3 linked regions of the Pelodiscus sinensis genome follow. The protein of the gene in region 1 purifies or fractionates together with the protein of each later gene. This does not show direct contact. Links are inferred from orthologs where the notes say so. Each region holds a gene or a part of one and is shown in the gene's direction. Other genes may lie near its edges. The genes, in order: protein POLR1D, CRCP and POLR1E.

Region 1 (5,546 bases):
GATGACACTGTCTTTGCTTCTTTCTAGCCTCAGAATATGTAGGTTTTATTGCTTTTGTTTTGATTTCCCCAAAGGTAATAATGGATTATTTATATTCAAATAAAAATTTGAATGTGTACATAGTCAAGCTGATGGGCAACAGACATATTTAGGCAGCCTCTGCTTGCAATGCAGGATTTAGCTAAATCTTCTCACTGTGAAAGGTATGAAACATGGGGGAATTCACCATCTCCCAGTGAGAGTGATGGGATATGCAGTCTGTCATAATTTGAAGAAACACAAAGGAAAATCACCATAAACATATCTTAACACTCTGAGTAAATATCCCAGACCTAAAAAAGAGCTCTGTGTAAGCTTGAAGCTTGTCTCTAGTTTCTCACCAACAGCAGTTGGTCCAATAAAAGGTATTTTCTCACCCAGTTTGTCTCCCAGTAAGGGACAGACTCACCCAACCTACTAGTTTCTAACATGGAGAATGGGCTGAGACAACTATGGGGAGTAGCAGGGGGAAAAAATCACTATTTTTCCACACCCAATCTTTAATTCAATTGAGAACTAATGTAGATTGTGGATACTTTTCTTTACATAAATAAAGAAGAAAACTTTAAACTAATTCAGAACTTCTCAGGTATGCCTATTATTAGCCTCTATAAATGCATGTACTTTTAGTACAGTACTATGTGGGGACAGGAGTACACCCAAACAAATCAGATTTCAGGTACTGTATCATTTTATGTGTTTGCACAATGCGGCCCTAAACCTGACTAGAACCTTAGGGCACTACTACTATAACATACATACATACATACACACACAATGGTTTTCCAGGGAGAGGGGAAACACAATGGGAGATGGGTGAGGAGCTATTACTATCAACACCCTCCTCCCATCTGCCACTGAGTGGGGACTGGGAGAATTGTACCCACGTAGAGGAGAGAGTAGTCATCATCATCATCATCATCAACAATCCTTCCACACATTCTCCCCCCCCCAAACGTCCCCTGTACCCGAGAGAGGGGCGAGGACCCTCCCTCGCACACAGCCCCTTACGAAACAGAGCTGGGGAAGAGACTGTTTCCCTGCCTTCCGATCTGAGGGACACTCACTTTCTGTTGTCCTGAGCTCAGCCTGTTACTCCCCCGGTCTGAGGTGAGCCTAGCGTAGCTGCCAGTTAACACGAGCACACGGGGGTGGAGGTGTCGGCACCAGCCAGCCCGCAGAGAAGAAGCGGGGCGCCTGGCGAACCACCGGGAACGGCGGCGCCTAGCAGCGAACTTACTCACCCCACCGGCTGCCGCCGCCTCCAGCCCCGGCTCAGCACGGCGCCCGGGTCCAGCTCATCCCGCGGCCGGGGGCTGGCTCCCTGCCCCCGCCCGGCAGCTCCGCCTCCCGCTGTCACCGCCGAGCTCCTGGCAAGAGTCAAACGGCCAACTCCGGGCAAGGACTTCGCCGCGCGCCTCACCTGGGCGGGCCGCCTCCTCCGCCGGGCCGCACCGCGGCCCGAGTGACGGCGCGGCCCAGCCACTCAGCCGCCAGCCGGGGGCCGGGGAGGGGGAGCGGAGGAAGCACCGCAGCCTATGGGAGCTGGGCCGGGGCGGGACCCGGCGACGACGGTCGGGCGCTGGGCTGTCCCCGCCGCTCGCCTGATTCCAGCAGGCGCGCCCTGGGGCAGCGGGGCAAAGGAGTGTGAGGGCAGGAGAGACGTAGAGGCGGGTCGCTTGATAACGGGAGGTAGCGCATGGGAGAGGACTGAGTGAGGGGGGAGAGCGAAAGGACAAGCAGGAGCGCTAGATACCTGAAAGGGAGGGCTTGTTTCTCTTTGCAGTCGCCCCATCCTACCTTACCCCAGAGAGCTGCGACTAGCTACAGGCCTCGCTGCTGGGAACTACGCTTAGCTTTCTTCGCAGGGCGCCCCTGTGTGCTGGGTTACATGCCAGGCGAAGCCGCAGTTGCAATTCCCCTTTACAGCCCGGCGGTTGCATCGTGTTTATGCATCGGGTGCATTCTCACTGCTTGGTCAGTGGCAAGTGAGTCACTGCAATCCCACTCACCAGCCTGCTGCCGCCCCCCGTGGGGATACCCGCGTGATCAGCTGGCAGCCTCTGTAGCATCACTGTGCACAGACTGGGGGGCAAGAGAGAGGCGCCTGCTCTGGGGATGGAGGTTTTGAGTTAACTGTTGGGATTTCGCTCTGGGACACATAACTCAGCAAACCCCTCTGCGCCGGTGTTTGGAGCGGAAGAGCCTAAACACGCAGCAATCCCCAGCCTACTCCACATCTCCAGAGGGGAACCAACACACACCAAAGGGGGTGGGCAGAGCCAATGGGCACCCGGCGTAGCGCGGCCTCCTCACGCCTCCCCAGTGGGAAGAACTGGGGTCGGCGAGGCCACGGGGGACCCGAGCACCCACTTCCAGCACCTGGGGCAGCACCAGGAGCTAGGTCTGGCGGAGGGTGGGTGGGACACGAAATCGCTGCCCGCTCCTGTAGGAGCGGAGGTTCCGGGCACCGCTAGGGCAGGGAGGGTGAGGCGGCGGCAGCACTTAAGAGTACGCGCCGCCCGCTTCCTTTCTAGCTCCGGCTTGCTCCGCCCCTCCCGGGGTCCTCGCAGCGCTCGCCCCGCAGCTCCGCCCCTCGCTCCTCCCTGTCCTCAGCCGCGAGCAGTAAACGGGTCGGGCCTGCACCTGAGCTACTACTGCGCCGGTGTCGGTGGCCTAGCGGGGGCGGCGTCGCATCGCCCTTCTTCCTGCCGCCGCCATGGAAGAGGACCTGGAGCTGGAGAGGTGAGAGGCCGGGGCGCGTGTTCCCGGGCACCGAGACAGGGCCCGCTGTGAGCTGCCGCGCCTGCCTGGCGCAGTTGTTCCCTTCCCCGGCCCACTTCAGCACCGGGAGATGGGGGCAGAGGTCAATGCAGGGATGAAGAGTTAGAAGGGTGGGGGGCGCCTTATCTAGGCAGATCCCTCTTCAGTTTTGAAAGTTTACTTCTGTACGCGCCCCTTGACAACTCCCTGGTGGGATGATCACTCTTGTGCCAGGCCTCTGGGGGACGCAGCCCCAGGAAGGGCTAGTGCTGGACTCAGTAAGAGGCCCATTAGTTATGTCGGTTCCCTCCTTAGACTGGCAGAGGCCAAGCTAATCTTCCTGATTTAGAGCCCGTCTGCTGGATCTGTTGTGGGGCATGATATAAATTATCTGCTTCAACAGGTAATATTTGTAGTGCTTCGGGACCATTAGAGAGCCTTTACAAGAGAAGTGGATCCTATTGTCTGTTCATTGTTTATTGTCTGTTTGTTGTTCATTGGTGCTGATGAAAGTGTTTAAATTTTCCACTTTATAACATTACATGCCATATAATAAAAGTTTATTTAAAAAAGGGGTGGCTTCATTTAAGTGGATGCTTCTGGTTTCACTTACCTAAACATCAAGACATCATGGTTTGGAATATTTGGGAGAACAGGGTTCCCAGTTTACAGTACACAGACTTACACACAGGAGACCTTTGACTTCAGTTTGAGAAATAGAATTGGTTTTCTATTCCTATTACATCAAATATATTTTACTTTTACCTGTCTTAGATTGGTGTTGAACCATACAATGTATATTACCAAAAAAAAAAAAAAAAATTAAGACTAGCTCATTCCATGTACTGCAAGTATTCTAGGATTGCAGAGGCTGCTGTTCCAGTTATAGGAGCCCTTCCTCTACCTGTTGCAATATCATTCCCCTGTCCCAAGACAGTAATCTGATTCCCAAGTGGATGTAATCAGAAGAGTATCTTATCACAGGGAACTCAGATTATTGGTGAGAAAAAATAGGTGTAGTGAAGATACTGCTGACTTCCAGTTGAATTCTGAAATCCTCTATAGGATTGGCTCAAATTACTTCATTGCCTCACTGAATCCCATGATTTGATTATGATCTCCTGGAACAATATAATTGCCAACGTTAGAAGTGAGACTAGTGCGCTCAGAAGACTCGTTGGAAACCTGGCCCATGACTGTGGAATTTGCTTCTGGGAAGACTGAACCTCGGTGTCTTCAGAATAAAATAAAAACTCAACTTTTTTCAAACCTTATTTTGTTAAGGAAAGGCATACTTGTATAAATTAAATTACCCCCCACCCTTATTAAATGAAGAAAAACAGGCGATTTTCTATTTTCACTTTAATAAACTTGGGTTGCATGCCAGTACCTGTTACGGCTGCAGCCAGATAACTGTGGAAGTTGCAAAATTAATAAGCCCTGTTTTGTTAATTGAAACAAAGCCTAATCTCTGACTGTAATTATTATAGTAAACTTGTGTTTACATTGACAGTAACAACTTTCAGGGAGAATAAAATGACAGACACTTTGCATTCTGTTGGAATGAGATCATTCATTCTGCTACGCAAATTGACCCATGTCATACCCAAAAGAATAGTAATAGAGAGGTAGCTGTGTTAGTCTGATCTTGCTAAAACAAAAGGAAAAACTATGTAGCACTTTAAAGACTAACAAGATGGTTTAATAGGTGATGAAACCTCAAGTGCTACATTGTTTTCTTTTGGGTATAAGAAAAGGAAAAACTTTCAGTTTAAATCCAGGTTCATTTAGTTGATTATTCAGACATAACAGACCTGTGTTTTACTTTCTGGTTTGGAAATGGACCAGAAGCACTTACGTTATTGGTAAATCTTGTTGGTGTTTGTTGTGGAATTGTATGAGAGTAATGACTGAAATAACAGTTCTGCAGTATGACTTGTCAACACTACAACTAACCCATGTGTAACAGATTCTCATGTGAGATTACCTGTTAGCAATATGTCTAACAATGATAGCGGCAATGAAAGCTTCTCTCACTGCTTTTCCAGTGTATCTCTCACCCAGTTAGAAAGTCCTAACTCTGTGGTTTCATTTACAAAAATAACTTGTTGCCTCCCCTTTCTGCCTCCAACTGATAGCGTAGATGAGACAAAGATAATATTGTGTTGGCTGAAGTGAAGTGATAATTGGGCCTAAGAGAATGTAATGATCTATTTATCTCCATAATTCTTCAGTAAAACACTTGTCCCCTATGATGTTAAAAAAACAGCTAGTATGGCACGTCTGAAATATCAGACTAAATAAGCATATGTCGTTGTGTCAAGATTTTATTGGAAAAATGTAGTGACCACATTAATTGCTGTAGTAAATCTAAACTAGACCATCATAACTTCTACATGTGCCTCAGTTACAGAAAAGCTATTTTAGGGATTTGTAGAGAGTTTTTAAAATATTTATTTGAGCTGTTTTTAGGTACAGGTTGGACTTCCATTGTCCGGCACTCTCAGGACCTGAGTGGTCCTGAACCAGGGAGTTTGCCAGACCAGGAGAGGCCAAGGCTCCTCTCTGGGTTGTGGGGTCCCTGCAGCCTGGGCTTCCTTCCCAATTGCTGGCCCCCTGCTGTAGCTCCTGGGGTCAACCTCCTCAGGCTGTGGCTCTCCAGCTGCCGCCAGTCATACTTCTATTGGGGTTCCCAGCCAAGGCCAGGGATTCTCCCCGGCCGCTGCTGGCACCACTGCCACCAG
Region 2 (5,546 bases), on another chromosome or scaffold:
GTTGTCTTAAGGTACACAACTCCAGCTATGTAAATAATGTGGAGTTGGCATACCTTAAGCCAAGCTTGGTGCTGTCTTCACAAAGGGAGTCTGAAGGGAGCAAAGGCTCCTGTTGGCTTCCCTTACTCCTCACAACTGTGTTTCATTATGTTGTTCAGTTTAAAGTCCAGCTAGCCTGGCAAAATATAAACTGCTTGCAAAAAAATCCCAACTCTGAGCAGTTTGTTTGCCACCTATTGGTACCTGAAAAGTTTGGGCTGTTGTGCCCTGGAAGCCCCTGAACTGTAGACTTGAACATAATTTAAAAATCTCATTCTTCACAGAACTACATCCTGCAAACCTTGTGTTTACTGCACATAATCATCTTATTTTTTTAATTGGATGATTTTATTTGTGATTCTTCTATGTCATTATCTCAAGGAATGTCCCCACACCATAGGGGTTTCCTGTGGAGACTGAAAGCAAAGATTCCAAAGAACTGCATTTGCCAAATAAACAAAAGCAATATGGTTTGTAAAATATGAATGAAAACTGGTGTGTGTGTGTGTGAGAGAGTGAGTGAGAGCACTTACTTGCGGAAGTTTCTCTCAATTAAGTTTAGAAGGTCCCTTTAATTTAAAAACAATAATAGAACCCATGAAAGTTTGTAGAAGGCATTAAACTTATTTGAAGGAGATGAATGTGAGAGTTCCATTTAAAAAGTTGGCTGTCTGACACTATATTGTGTCTTTTTTATATGAAGCAACTCAGGCACCATGGGAAAAGTCCTTATTTTGTTTTGTTTGATAACTTTTTGTTGTTGTTACTACTGTCTGTTCAGCATAATGCGTTGCTCTGGTGAGGTATAGTGCTCTTGCCTATTTTTTAAACATAACATTTATTTATGTATTTTAAAATATAATTATAGTATTTTTTCCCAATTAAGAATGTCCTAATTAAGTAAATTTGCATAACTCAGAGCAAACTTGTTTAGCTTAACGATAGTGAATGGCAATTATTTTTTTTGTTGATGGGGATAGAATTATTATACATTTCACTTAATAGGGAAGCATTTGGCAGGTGTTGAGTGATGGGAAACTCTAAACTTCAGTCTGCTAATATGGAACTTTTCAAATAAACATTAAAAGAACACAATAAAGATGAAATTTAATGACTATTATTCTTTCATTTGCGTTCTGTGCAGTATGCTTTTTTTTAATAATCTTGTGTTAAGGGTCCACCTTCAGGGAATTTTTCACTATGATTATTTAGGATGTTAAGCCAGTCCAGGGGCTGTCCCAGTTAAGATGATTCTGTTGTGCAAGTTAAACACTTGATGATACAAATATTCTTACACAAATTAATTAATTGTGTAAGAATATTTGTAATAGCTATGTTTGAAGTTTGTGAAAATAAGTAACTCCTAAAGGCAGCAATAGCTAGGAATTGTAGAGGATTTAACAGAATTAAATCTTGAAGATTTTATTTAAAAAATTCTCAGAATTTACTGAAAAATGTCCGTCTCGTCCCGTCCCGTCCCCCCCCCCCGATCAGTAAAAAAGAGAGAATGGATTTGTGACCGTTTCTTTTGAGACATGCATAATTTTCTGTTTTTCAGGAAAGATGCAAATGCTGCATTGCTGAGTAACCTTGAGGTAAGTTAATTTGCTCCATGATTTTAAACTGACAACTTAACATCATCACAGCGAGTCAAAATATATTCTTTTTGATGTCAATGAAAACATGGACCAGAGCAGATAAAAATGTCTCCAAGAAATCTGGGAGACCTGTTTGTGACTTTTGCTTTTTCACATGTGGATTTCTTTGTTTTTAATTAGCTTGGTAAAATGGGGGCTCTCATCCTGGTTTAAAAGGTGACTTAGAAATGATATTATTGGCACTGTTTGCATGACAAATATGAGCAGGGTTGGATTAGGGATGTAAGCAACTAGTTGACTACCTGATAAGCAAATGCTTATTGGGTAGTTAAGTAGGAACTCGACTAGTTGCTCCCCCCCACACTTGCTGCCTTTATCAGAGGGATGCAGCAAGGGGGCGGGGAGAGCACCGTCTACGTGGGGGGGCAGGAGAAGTAGAAGGCATCGGGGAAATGGCACAAGTGGGGATCGAAACAGTCCCACTCGTTCCGGTTGGACTGCTGCTCCTCTCCATTTGAAACGTACAAGAGCTACCTGCGGATTCCCGCTACTTTTCCCTTTGAAATATAACATTTCAAAGCAAGAGGCTCAACAGGATAGCAAGCACCCCCCTTACTGACTAATCGAATAGAAATTCCATCAACTACTCTATTAGCGAATTAATCGAAATTTAACATCCCTAGCTTGGATCCCAAATCAGTAATAAACCCCCAAATGTTAGAATTGTGTGTGTTCTTAAATCCATGAGAAAATAGTCCTTCAGAACATTTTAATTATCTCTCTCTTCATTCACATGTTTATGTTAATTTTCTGAATATCCTTACTTTGCATGTAGTATTCGTAATCTAGGGTTTGATTCTCCACTCTTTTACACCAGTTTTTCATCTGGGAAACTTCCCTGGTTTCTTTGCAGTTATACTTTTTACTCATCAGGCCCAAAATCTTTAAGTTGTCAACTTTGTATCCATAGAAAGTGATGCCTAAGGCCAGGTCTCCACTAGGGGGGCAAAGTAGAAGTAAGGTTCACAACTCCAGCTATTTGAATAGCATACCTGAAGTCAACATACCTTAGTTCGACTTACCCCATCATCCCTACTGAGGGTGTCGACAGGAGAAACTCTTTCATTGACTTCCCTTACTCTTCATGACCTGGGGGAGTACTCGGGTTGACATGAGCGTGACCGATGGTCCATTTAGTGTACCTTTATTAGAGCCACTAAACTGACCTCTGGGAGATGGTTCTCTGCAGCATTGATCTCCCAGTCAGTGAAGACAAGGCCTAAATGGAAAACCAGTTTTAAGAGAGAGCCAAGAGAATTATACATATAAATCAAAAATGAATACTACAAAAAATAGAAACATGGACAAATTGCTAAGTATGAGTACAGAAGAATAGCACATGCATAGAAGGACAAACTCACAAAGACTAAGAGCCAAAATGCATAATTCGTAGAAGAGGCCATAAATGGCTGTAAAAAGAGGCTCTATAAGTAAAGAGTGAGAGAAAGACGAAGGAAAGTGTAGACCCAGTACTTAGTGGGAAGGGGAGTTAAGAATGGATGCCATTAAGAAAGCTGAGGTGTTAAATGCCTATTTTATTCACTCTTCACTAATAACGTTAATAGTGAATAGCTATTTAACACAGTTAATATTAGCCAGGGGAAAGGTGTGCGAACATTAGGTAAATTAGGTGTATTCAGGTAAGCAGGGCCTGATGAAATTCACCTTAGAATTAGGGAGCTAGATGAAGCAATCATTAGTGATTATCTTTGCGAGCTCATGGCGAACAGGTGAGGTCTCATATCTGGACAGGTACAGAATACTTATCTTTAGAAAGAGGACCCATATAAAGCAATAATATCAATATGTGAAAAGATGCTGGAATCAATTATGTAAGCACTTACTGGATAATGAGGTAATAAATAATAGCCAACATGGATTTGTCAAGAATAGGTTGGTCTGCCATGATTTGATTTCTGTCTTTGAGTTAGTGACCTAGTGGATGGGAAGAAGCTGTAGGCATGATATATATTAGGGTATGTCTATACAGCACACTTATTTCAAAATAAGCTATTCCGGAATAGTTATTCCGAAATAGTTTTTCGAAATAGCACATCTACACTGCAGGGAAGCCTCAAAATTAGTCCAAACTAGGCTTCCCTAATGTAGATGTGCTATTTTGATTTAGAGCCCCTGGAGGCACTGAGGAGGAATAACTTAGAATGGCCTTGGTGAGGAGCTATTTTGAAATAGCAGGAGTGCAGAGTCTCCATATGCTTATTTCAAAATAACTATTTCGGAAAAGGCATTTTTCCTAGAATGAGGTTTGGGACTTCAATCACCCTGACATCTGTTGGGAGACCAATACAGCAGTACACAGGCAATCCAGGAAGTTTTTGGAGAATGTTGTGGGGATAACTTCTTGGTACAAGTGCTGAAGGATCCGAACAGGGGACGTGCGCAGCTTGACCTTCTGCTCACAAACAGGGAGGAACTAATTGGGGAAGTAGAGGTGGGTGACAGCCTCGGAAGCAGTGATCATGACATGGTAGATTTCAGGATCCTGACCAAAGGGAGAAAAGAGAGTAGTAAAATACACACCTTGGATTTCAGAAAAGCAGACTTTGAGTCCCTCAGAGACCTGATGGGCAGAATCCCCTGGAATGCTAACATAAAGGGGAAAGGAGTCCAGGAGAGCTAGCAGTATTTTAAAGAAGCCTTATTGAAGGCACAGAAAGAAACCATTCCAATGTGTAGCAAGAGAAGCAAACATGGTAGGAGACCGGATTGGCTTACAGGGGAAATCCTTGGTGAACTTAAGCACAAAAAGGGAGCTTATAAAAAGAGGAAACTTGGACAAATGACCAGGGAAAGCTATACATGTATAGCTTAAGAATGCCGGAGGGTTATCAGGAAGATGAAAGTGCAATTGGAATTGTGACTGGCAAAGGATGTGAAGGATAACAAGAAAGATTTCTACAGGCATGTTAGCAAGAAGAAGGTGATCAGAGAGGGTGTGGGGCCCCTATAGGATGAAGGAGATAACCTAGTGACAGATGATGTGGGGAAAGCTGAAGTACTCCATGCTTTCTTTGTCTCTGTCTTCACGGACAAGGTCAGCTCCCAGACTAATTCGCTAAGTTACGCAAGATGGGATGAAGATGGACAGCCCTTGGTGGGTAAAGAACAGGTTAGGAACTATTTAGAAAAGCTAAACGTACACAAATCCATGAGTCCGGACTTAATGCATCCGAGGGTACTGAGGAAGTTGGCAAATGTCATTGAGGAGCCTTTGGCTATTATCTTTGAAAAGTCATGGAGATCGGGAGAGATCCTGGATGATTGGAAAAAGGCAAATATAGTGCCCATCTTCAAAAAAGGGAAGAAGGACCATCCAGGGAACTATAGGCCGGTCAGTCTTACCTTGGTCACTGGAAAAATCATGGAAGGGATCCTTAAGGAATCCATTTTGAGGCACTTGGAAGAGGGGAAAGTGATCAAGAATAGTCAGCATGGATTCACAAAGGGCAAGTCGTGCCTGACCAATCTGATTAGCTTTTATGATGAGGTAACTGGCTCTGTAGACAAGGGCAAGTCAGCGGATATGATGTACCTTGACTTTAGCAAGGCTTTTGATATGGTCTCCCACAATATTCTTGCCAGCAAGTTAAGGGAATGTGGATTGGATAAATGGACGGTAAGATGGATAGAAAGCTGGCTAGAAGGTCGGGCCCGGCCGGTAGTGATCAACGGCTTGATGTCAGGATGGTGGTCGGTTTCTAGTGGAGTGCCCCAAGGTTCGGTTCTAGGACCGCTTTTGTTCAATATCTTTATTAATGACCTGAATGAGGGGATGGATTGCACCCTCAGCAAGTTTGCAGATGATACTAAGCTGGGGGGAGAAGTAGA
Region 3 (5,546 bases), on another chromosome or scaffold:
ACCACTAAGGCACAGACACGCTGTCTGCAATGCGTGGCTACTCTAGATCGCTCCTTTCAAAAACGACATGCCATGCTGCATGCCAATTTGTAATAGTTCTTTGTCTCCCCTCTCTTTGGGTCTTCAGCAGGGTTTGAATCCCAGACCTTTTATTAATAAAATCCCAGGCTTTTATTATTTGAACTGAAAAAAAGGAATAATTCCATTGGCTGGTGGCAGCAGGCTCCATCCTCTTGCACGAACTAGCCAGTGGAGAGGAAAATAGGTTCACATTCTAGTAAGCGCATGAGTTTCTTCTTTCTATTTATCCTTGCAATGTGCAGTACCAAGGTCTTCCAATGGATGCCAGTAATATCCCAAATGGCATCGTGCAATATAGGCCAAGGAGGAACAGTGGTAGCTCCTAAAGGATTTTGCAGTCTCCAATTCAAGTACCTGTATAGTGCAGCTTATTTTAAACAGAAATAATACAGTGTCTTATTTTCTCTGTACTATCAATTTTCCTTCAGCCATGGGGTACAAAGTGACAGATTGAACACAGGCTATGAGAATAAGAAAAAAATAATTGCTATCAGCACCAGCCGCTCTGCCATATGTATTGGACAAACCAGACTGTCTCTACACAAAAGAAAAAAAAAAAGCAATGGTCCTGCAGCATCTTAGGCACTAACAAAAAATGTAGATGGTGTCTACAAAGTGGGCACAACCCACTTCTTCAGATGTTTCTATTACAGACCAACATGGCTACCCCTCTGAAATTTTTACACAAAAGAATACATGGACACAAATGAGACACCAAGAATGGTAACATACAAAAACCAGTAGGAAAGCACTTTTCCTTCTCTGGGCACACAGTTACAGACTTAAAAGCTGCCACTCTTAAGCAAAAAAAACTTCAAAATCAGACTGCAACATGAAACTGCTGAGCTGGGACTCACATGCAAACTTGACACCATCAGAATGGGTCTGAATAGGGACTGGGAATGGCTTAGCTCAGTACAAAAAGTAATTTTCCCCTTTAGGTATTCTCACCTTCTTATCACTGTTGGAAGGGGGCTACATTCACCCTATTGAATTAGCCTCGTTAACACTTGTCACACTCCCATCCCTGTATGTAGATATCTCCGCCATCTGATTCTTTCGCTTCATGCATCTGACAAAGTGAGCTGCAGCGCTAGTAAATTTGGTAGTCTGTATGCCCTGGAACTCCTTGCTGTTCCTATTCTACATGTTTTGTTAGTTTTTAAGGTGTCACTAGTCTATTTGTTGTTTTTTAAGTTGTACCTGTTCTGTCATTCTTGCCATGAGGTGGTAAGCGGGCAGTCCTAGGAAGGTCTTCAGAAGTAGAGATGTAAAAGTCCATTTAAAATGTTAACTGGCTAAACTATACATTTAAGGTTAAAAGCCAGGTTTCTTCAGCACAGCTGGGCACAGTTAACCCGGTAAGCGTGCTGGTCAGGCAGTGCTTACAGTAAGAATAAGAATGGCCATACTGGGTCAGACCAGCCCCGTCTGCCCACAGTGGCCAATGCCAGATGCCCCCAGAGGGAGGGAACAGAACAGGGAATCATCAAGTGATCCCTCCTCTGTCACCCATTCCTGTTTCTGACAGAGGTTAGGGACACTGTCCCTACCCATCCCGCCTAATAGTCATGACGGCCCTAGCCACCATACATTTATCTAGTTCTATTCTGGAACCTGTTAAAGTCCTGGTCTTCCAGCACATCCTCTGGCAAGGAGTTCCACAAGTTAACTGTGCTCTGCCTGAAGAAAAACTTCCTTTGGTTTGTTTTAAACCTGCTGCCTATTAATTTCATTTGGTGACCCCCAGTTACCGAGGGGGGGGGGCTGCTCAGCTCACCCCTTTACGTCGCTATTTACAAGCCTGCCCCCCCCCCCAGTGGATGCCAGACCCCGCCCGCTCTGCAGGGAGGTGCGTGCACACGCGGGCCCGGCCCAGGTTTCCCCGCGCAGCTGGCGGGGGCGGCGCCAGCTCCGCTCAGCGCCCGGCTCTAGGCGGCGGTCGCGGCTGCGTCTCCAGCCGGCCACGAGGAGCTGCGCCATGGCCGCTGCCGCCAGCTGGAGCTACCGGGGGCACCCCCTGGAGGCGCAGAGCGCCCCGCTCGGTAAGAGCCGCGCCCCGGCCCCCAGCCAGCCTCCCCGCGGGGCGGCTCCCCGTGCGCTCCGGGCTGCGCCTCGCCCCGTGCGCTCCGCCGGGTGCCGCTAGCGGGGGGATGTGAGCCGGGTACCGGGGGGGGGGATGTACCGGGCGCTGCCTGCCCGGGGCTCTCGCCCGCTGCTGCAGCCCAGGCCCCGGGATGTGCCGCGGGCCCCCCGCTGCAGGGCGGCGCGTCCCCAGCAGCGCGTCCCGGCTGTGCCTCGCCAGCAGCGCGCCACTTCGGCGGGCGAGTTTCATCCTTGCTAGCCCCCTCCCCGCCCTGAGCTTGCAGAGCGAGTCCTGGGGGTCTCTCCCCGGGCAGGCTGCAGAGCCGCCCTTGCGAGGGGGAAGCCTGCCCCGTGGAGGTGGCCTGGCCCAGCCGGTAGCGGGGGCCTTGTGCGCACGGGATGGCTGGTACTGCACTGGCCTGGCAAGGGCCGCTGGGCTCCGGTTGCGCAGGCCTGACAACATTTTAACCTGCGGGGAGTCCAAGAAAAAAACCAGCATTTTAGCTGCTTAAAAATGACAAAATAGCCCCCAATGAAAGCCCGCCACAGAGGACTGCAGCTGGAGGTCAGTGTTCTGCGGGGCGGCCGCTGGCCTGCCTTTGCCACCTAGCACAGGGTGGGTTGTGCGTTTAGACCGTGCCGCTAGAAAGCAAAGGAGCATGTGAGTGAGTGATCCCTTTGCAGTCTGCAGCCCCGGGGTGCATGGAACAGTGTATGAATTGTCTCCCAGTGCTGAGGTCCTGTTCAGGGAACTGGCAACATATTTACATTCACCGATCCGGAGGCTAGAAGGGACCACTCTGATCATAGTCTCACCCCTTGTATAGTAGAGGCCAGAGACCTTCCCCAAACTAACTCCTAGAGCAGAGCTTTTGGGTAGAAATAATTCTAGCTGGATTTCAAAATGGTCAGGGATGGAGAAATTGTCTCCTTTTCAGGGTCTGTTTCTGACTGTGTTTGCACAGCTCTAAGCGAGCCCTTCTCTGGGCTGGGGCAAATAGTAGACTTTCAAATCATGGGTCAAAACATCCTTCTTTAGCATCAAGCCTTGCCATCTTAGGGGGCAACTCGCTGACGTCTCAGATGTAGGATGGTAGCAGCCCTCTGTTTGGTCTACAGTCTTGGTACAATAAGCTCTGTCGATGGTTGGACATTGACTGGAATAACCATTTCAGGGTCAATTATTCCACAGTAGATACTCCAGAATAACTTCCTGGGGCCATAAGAACAGTCGTTTTACTCCAGAATCATTAGCTGGTTTCCAATGGGGAGTAATTATTCCAGAATAAAATCATTTGTATTCTGAAATTAACTCTGAGCTCATTCAGGCTCCCCGAAATTCTCATTAAGAGCTAGAGCTGTAAAAGGGTAACAGGATACCTGGTAAGCACAACCCTTATGCTTACTGGTAGCTGGTTAAGTGGCACCCGGCCTGAGTAGCCCCCTGCCTGTGGTGATCCTTTTAACCAGTTAAATGTGTATTTCAACCGGTTAACCTTTTAAACAGCATTTTACATGCCTGTTACAAGTAGCTTCTCTCGGCACTGTTGCCAACATTTTTGTTTTGAACATATAATTATCTGCACTGCTTCAAATGCTTTTCCTTACAAATGTATTACAGTTCAGTTCTCTAACGGGAAACTGCAGAATTCTGAAAACATGGATTTTACTTTGTACAAAAACAATGACGCTACTAATCCCAGAAAGAAACATCAAAGAATCTTGGTAAGTTTGTCTGTCATTGTACCCGAGTTCTACAGTGATATATCAGGTTCCTGGTTATTGCTAGCTATTTGTTTTGGTGAACCAGGATATTTTTGCCAAGAAGTATTGAAATATATGTAAAGGGGCACTATTTGCTACCCTGCCTCTTAACAAGTCATCTGTTATTTTGAAATATTTTTCAAAATAACAGGCGTACTATTTCGGCATCCCTGTACCCTTGTTCCACGAGGTTTAAGGGATGTCTCGAAATAGCACGTTATTTCAAAATTTGGCACTGTCTATATGCACCAAATTTAAAAATAAACCATTTTGAAATAGAATCAAAATAAGATAACAGTTTGCATAGCGCAAATTGCGTATCTTATTTTGTGTACAGTGCTGTGTAGATGCACCCTAGACGCAAAAAAATTATGTATATTTTTATAAGCTGCTACTGTTTACAAGTATAACACCTAAGATTACAAGAAATTAAAGATGCTGTATGGGTGCAGAATGTATCGAGATACAGTGAATAACACATTTTAGAAGTTGTTAAACCTTTTGCTTCAGGTTTTAAGCTATCAAGAGAGCTCGAATGTGGTGGCAGTTTTGTCTCTCATCTGCTATTTTAGACTTCCTCTAAAGTATTTGGCACTGCCCACATTTGCAGACAGATATTGGACTAGATGAATTTTGGGTCTCATCCAAGTTTGTAAATTCCTGTGATCCTGGCGTGAAGGAAAATCTCTGTATTCGGGTTTTGCCTTTGATACCCCTTTCATAGACAGTTATTCACTGGTTCTTTTGTGTAAGGAGATAGGCATGGAGCCCCATTTTCTCCAGTGGGGCTGTTTAAGATTAGGCTGCTATGGAACCGATTGCAGGAACAGGGCTTTAGTTGGACTGTTGGTTTTGGGCCCCGTCAGTGGGTTTGGCTGGACAGGTGTTTAGTGGGCTCCGCCAGCAGTGGAGAGGAAAACATTAAAAATGTGATTGTTAAGCGTCATAAATTAGGAGAGGGATTTAAGTACGATGTAAGCGGGCATAGTAACTGAAACAGTTTTTAACCATCATAAAAAATAAGTAGATTCCAAATTGGTGAAAGTAGCCAATGACCCCTCCATGTGAATTACAATCAAAACACAACCCCCAACCTTTATCCTGCCCACTTTCTGGTATTTTCTGAGACTCTGTCCACGCCTCGACTTTTATTTCCACTCGCGTGGCGGAGAGGCTGTTCTTAGCAGTAGAAATCAGATTGGCTCCAGGAAAGGTGGGAGCACCAGCTTTTCCATTTACACGGCTGCTTACAAGAGTGGGGCAAGAGGGAGGGAGAAGAGCTTTCAGTGAGCCGGCTGTCTGCCAGGAGGACTAGTCTGCATGCTGACACTTGGAACACCTCCCTTCTCTGCAAAGCTTGTGGTCTGGAGTCTGCAATACCACCAGATGTCAGTGTAACCTTTAGGAACAGGGCTGAGTATCCGAGCGTTGAGGGGTATGAAAGGCAGGTTTGGTTTTGTCAGGGCACTCCAAAGAACCTAACATCAGATAGCTGACTGACAATGTATTTCAAGATTTTGAATGCCACTTACTGTAAGGGCTGATGGGTTCAGTAATGCAGTACACCGCAAGTGTGAATTGCCTCGGTTAAATGCAAAATACCATTGCAATGATCT

The links.
Region 2: the proteins of protein POLR1D (region 1) and CRCP purify together in Homo sapiens (affinity purification with mass spectrometry; 5 studies listed by BioGRID and IntAct, with this or other methods). This does not show direct contact. The link is inferred for Pelodiscus sinensis from reciprocal best matches to the Homo sapiens genes POLR1D and CRCP.
Region 3: the proteins of protein POLR1D (region 1) and POLR1E purify together in Homo sapiens (affinity purification with mass spectrometry; 3 studies listed by BioGRID and IntAct, with this or other methods). This does not show direct contact. The link is inferred for Pelodiscus sinensis from reciprocal best matches to the Homo sapiens genes POLR1D and POLR1E.

What each region holds. Positions count from the first base shown.
Region 1 is NC_134711.1:300,349,297-300,354,842, reverse strand, and holds the start of protein POLR1D, read left to right. Parts: upstream 1-2,616; 5' UTR 2,617-2,758; coding exon 2,759-2,784; intron 2,785-5,546.
Region 2 is NC_134731.1:20,053,882-20,059,427, reverse strand, and holds the start of CRCP (DNA-directed RNA polymerase III subunit RPC9), read left to right. Parts: upstream 1-1,574; coding exon 1,575-1,634; intron 1,635-5,546. UniProt on the Homo sapiens protein: DNA-dependent RNA polymerase catalyzes the transcription of DNA into RNA using the four ribonucleoside triphosphates as substrates.
Region 3 is NC_134716.1:788,771-794,316, reverse strand, and holds the start of POLR1E (DNA-directed RNA polymerase I subunit RPA49), read left to right. Parts: upstream 1-1,958; 5' UTR 1,959-2,062; coding exon 2,063-2,126; intron 2,127-3,787; coding exon 3,788-3,891; intron 3,892-5,546. UniProt on the Homo sapiens protein: Component of RNA polymerase I (Pol I), a DNA-dependent RNA polymerase which synthesizes ribosomal RNA precursors using the four ribonucleoside triphosphates as substrates.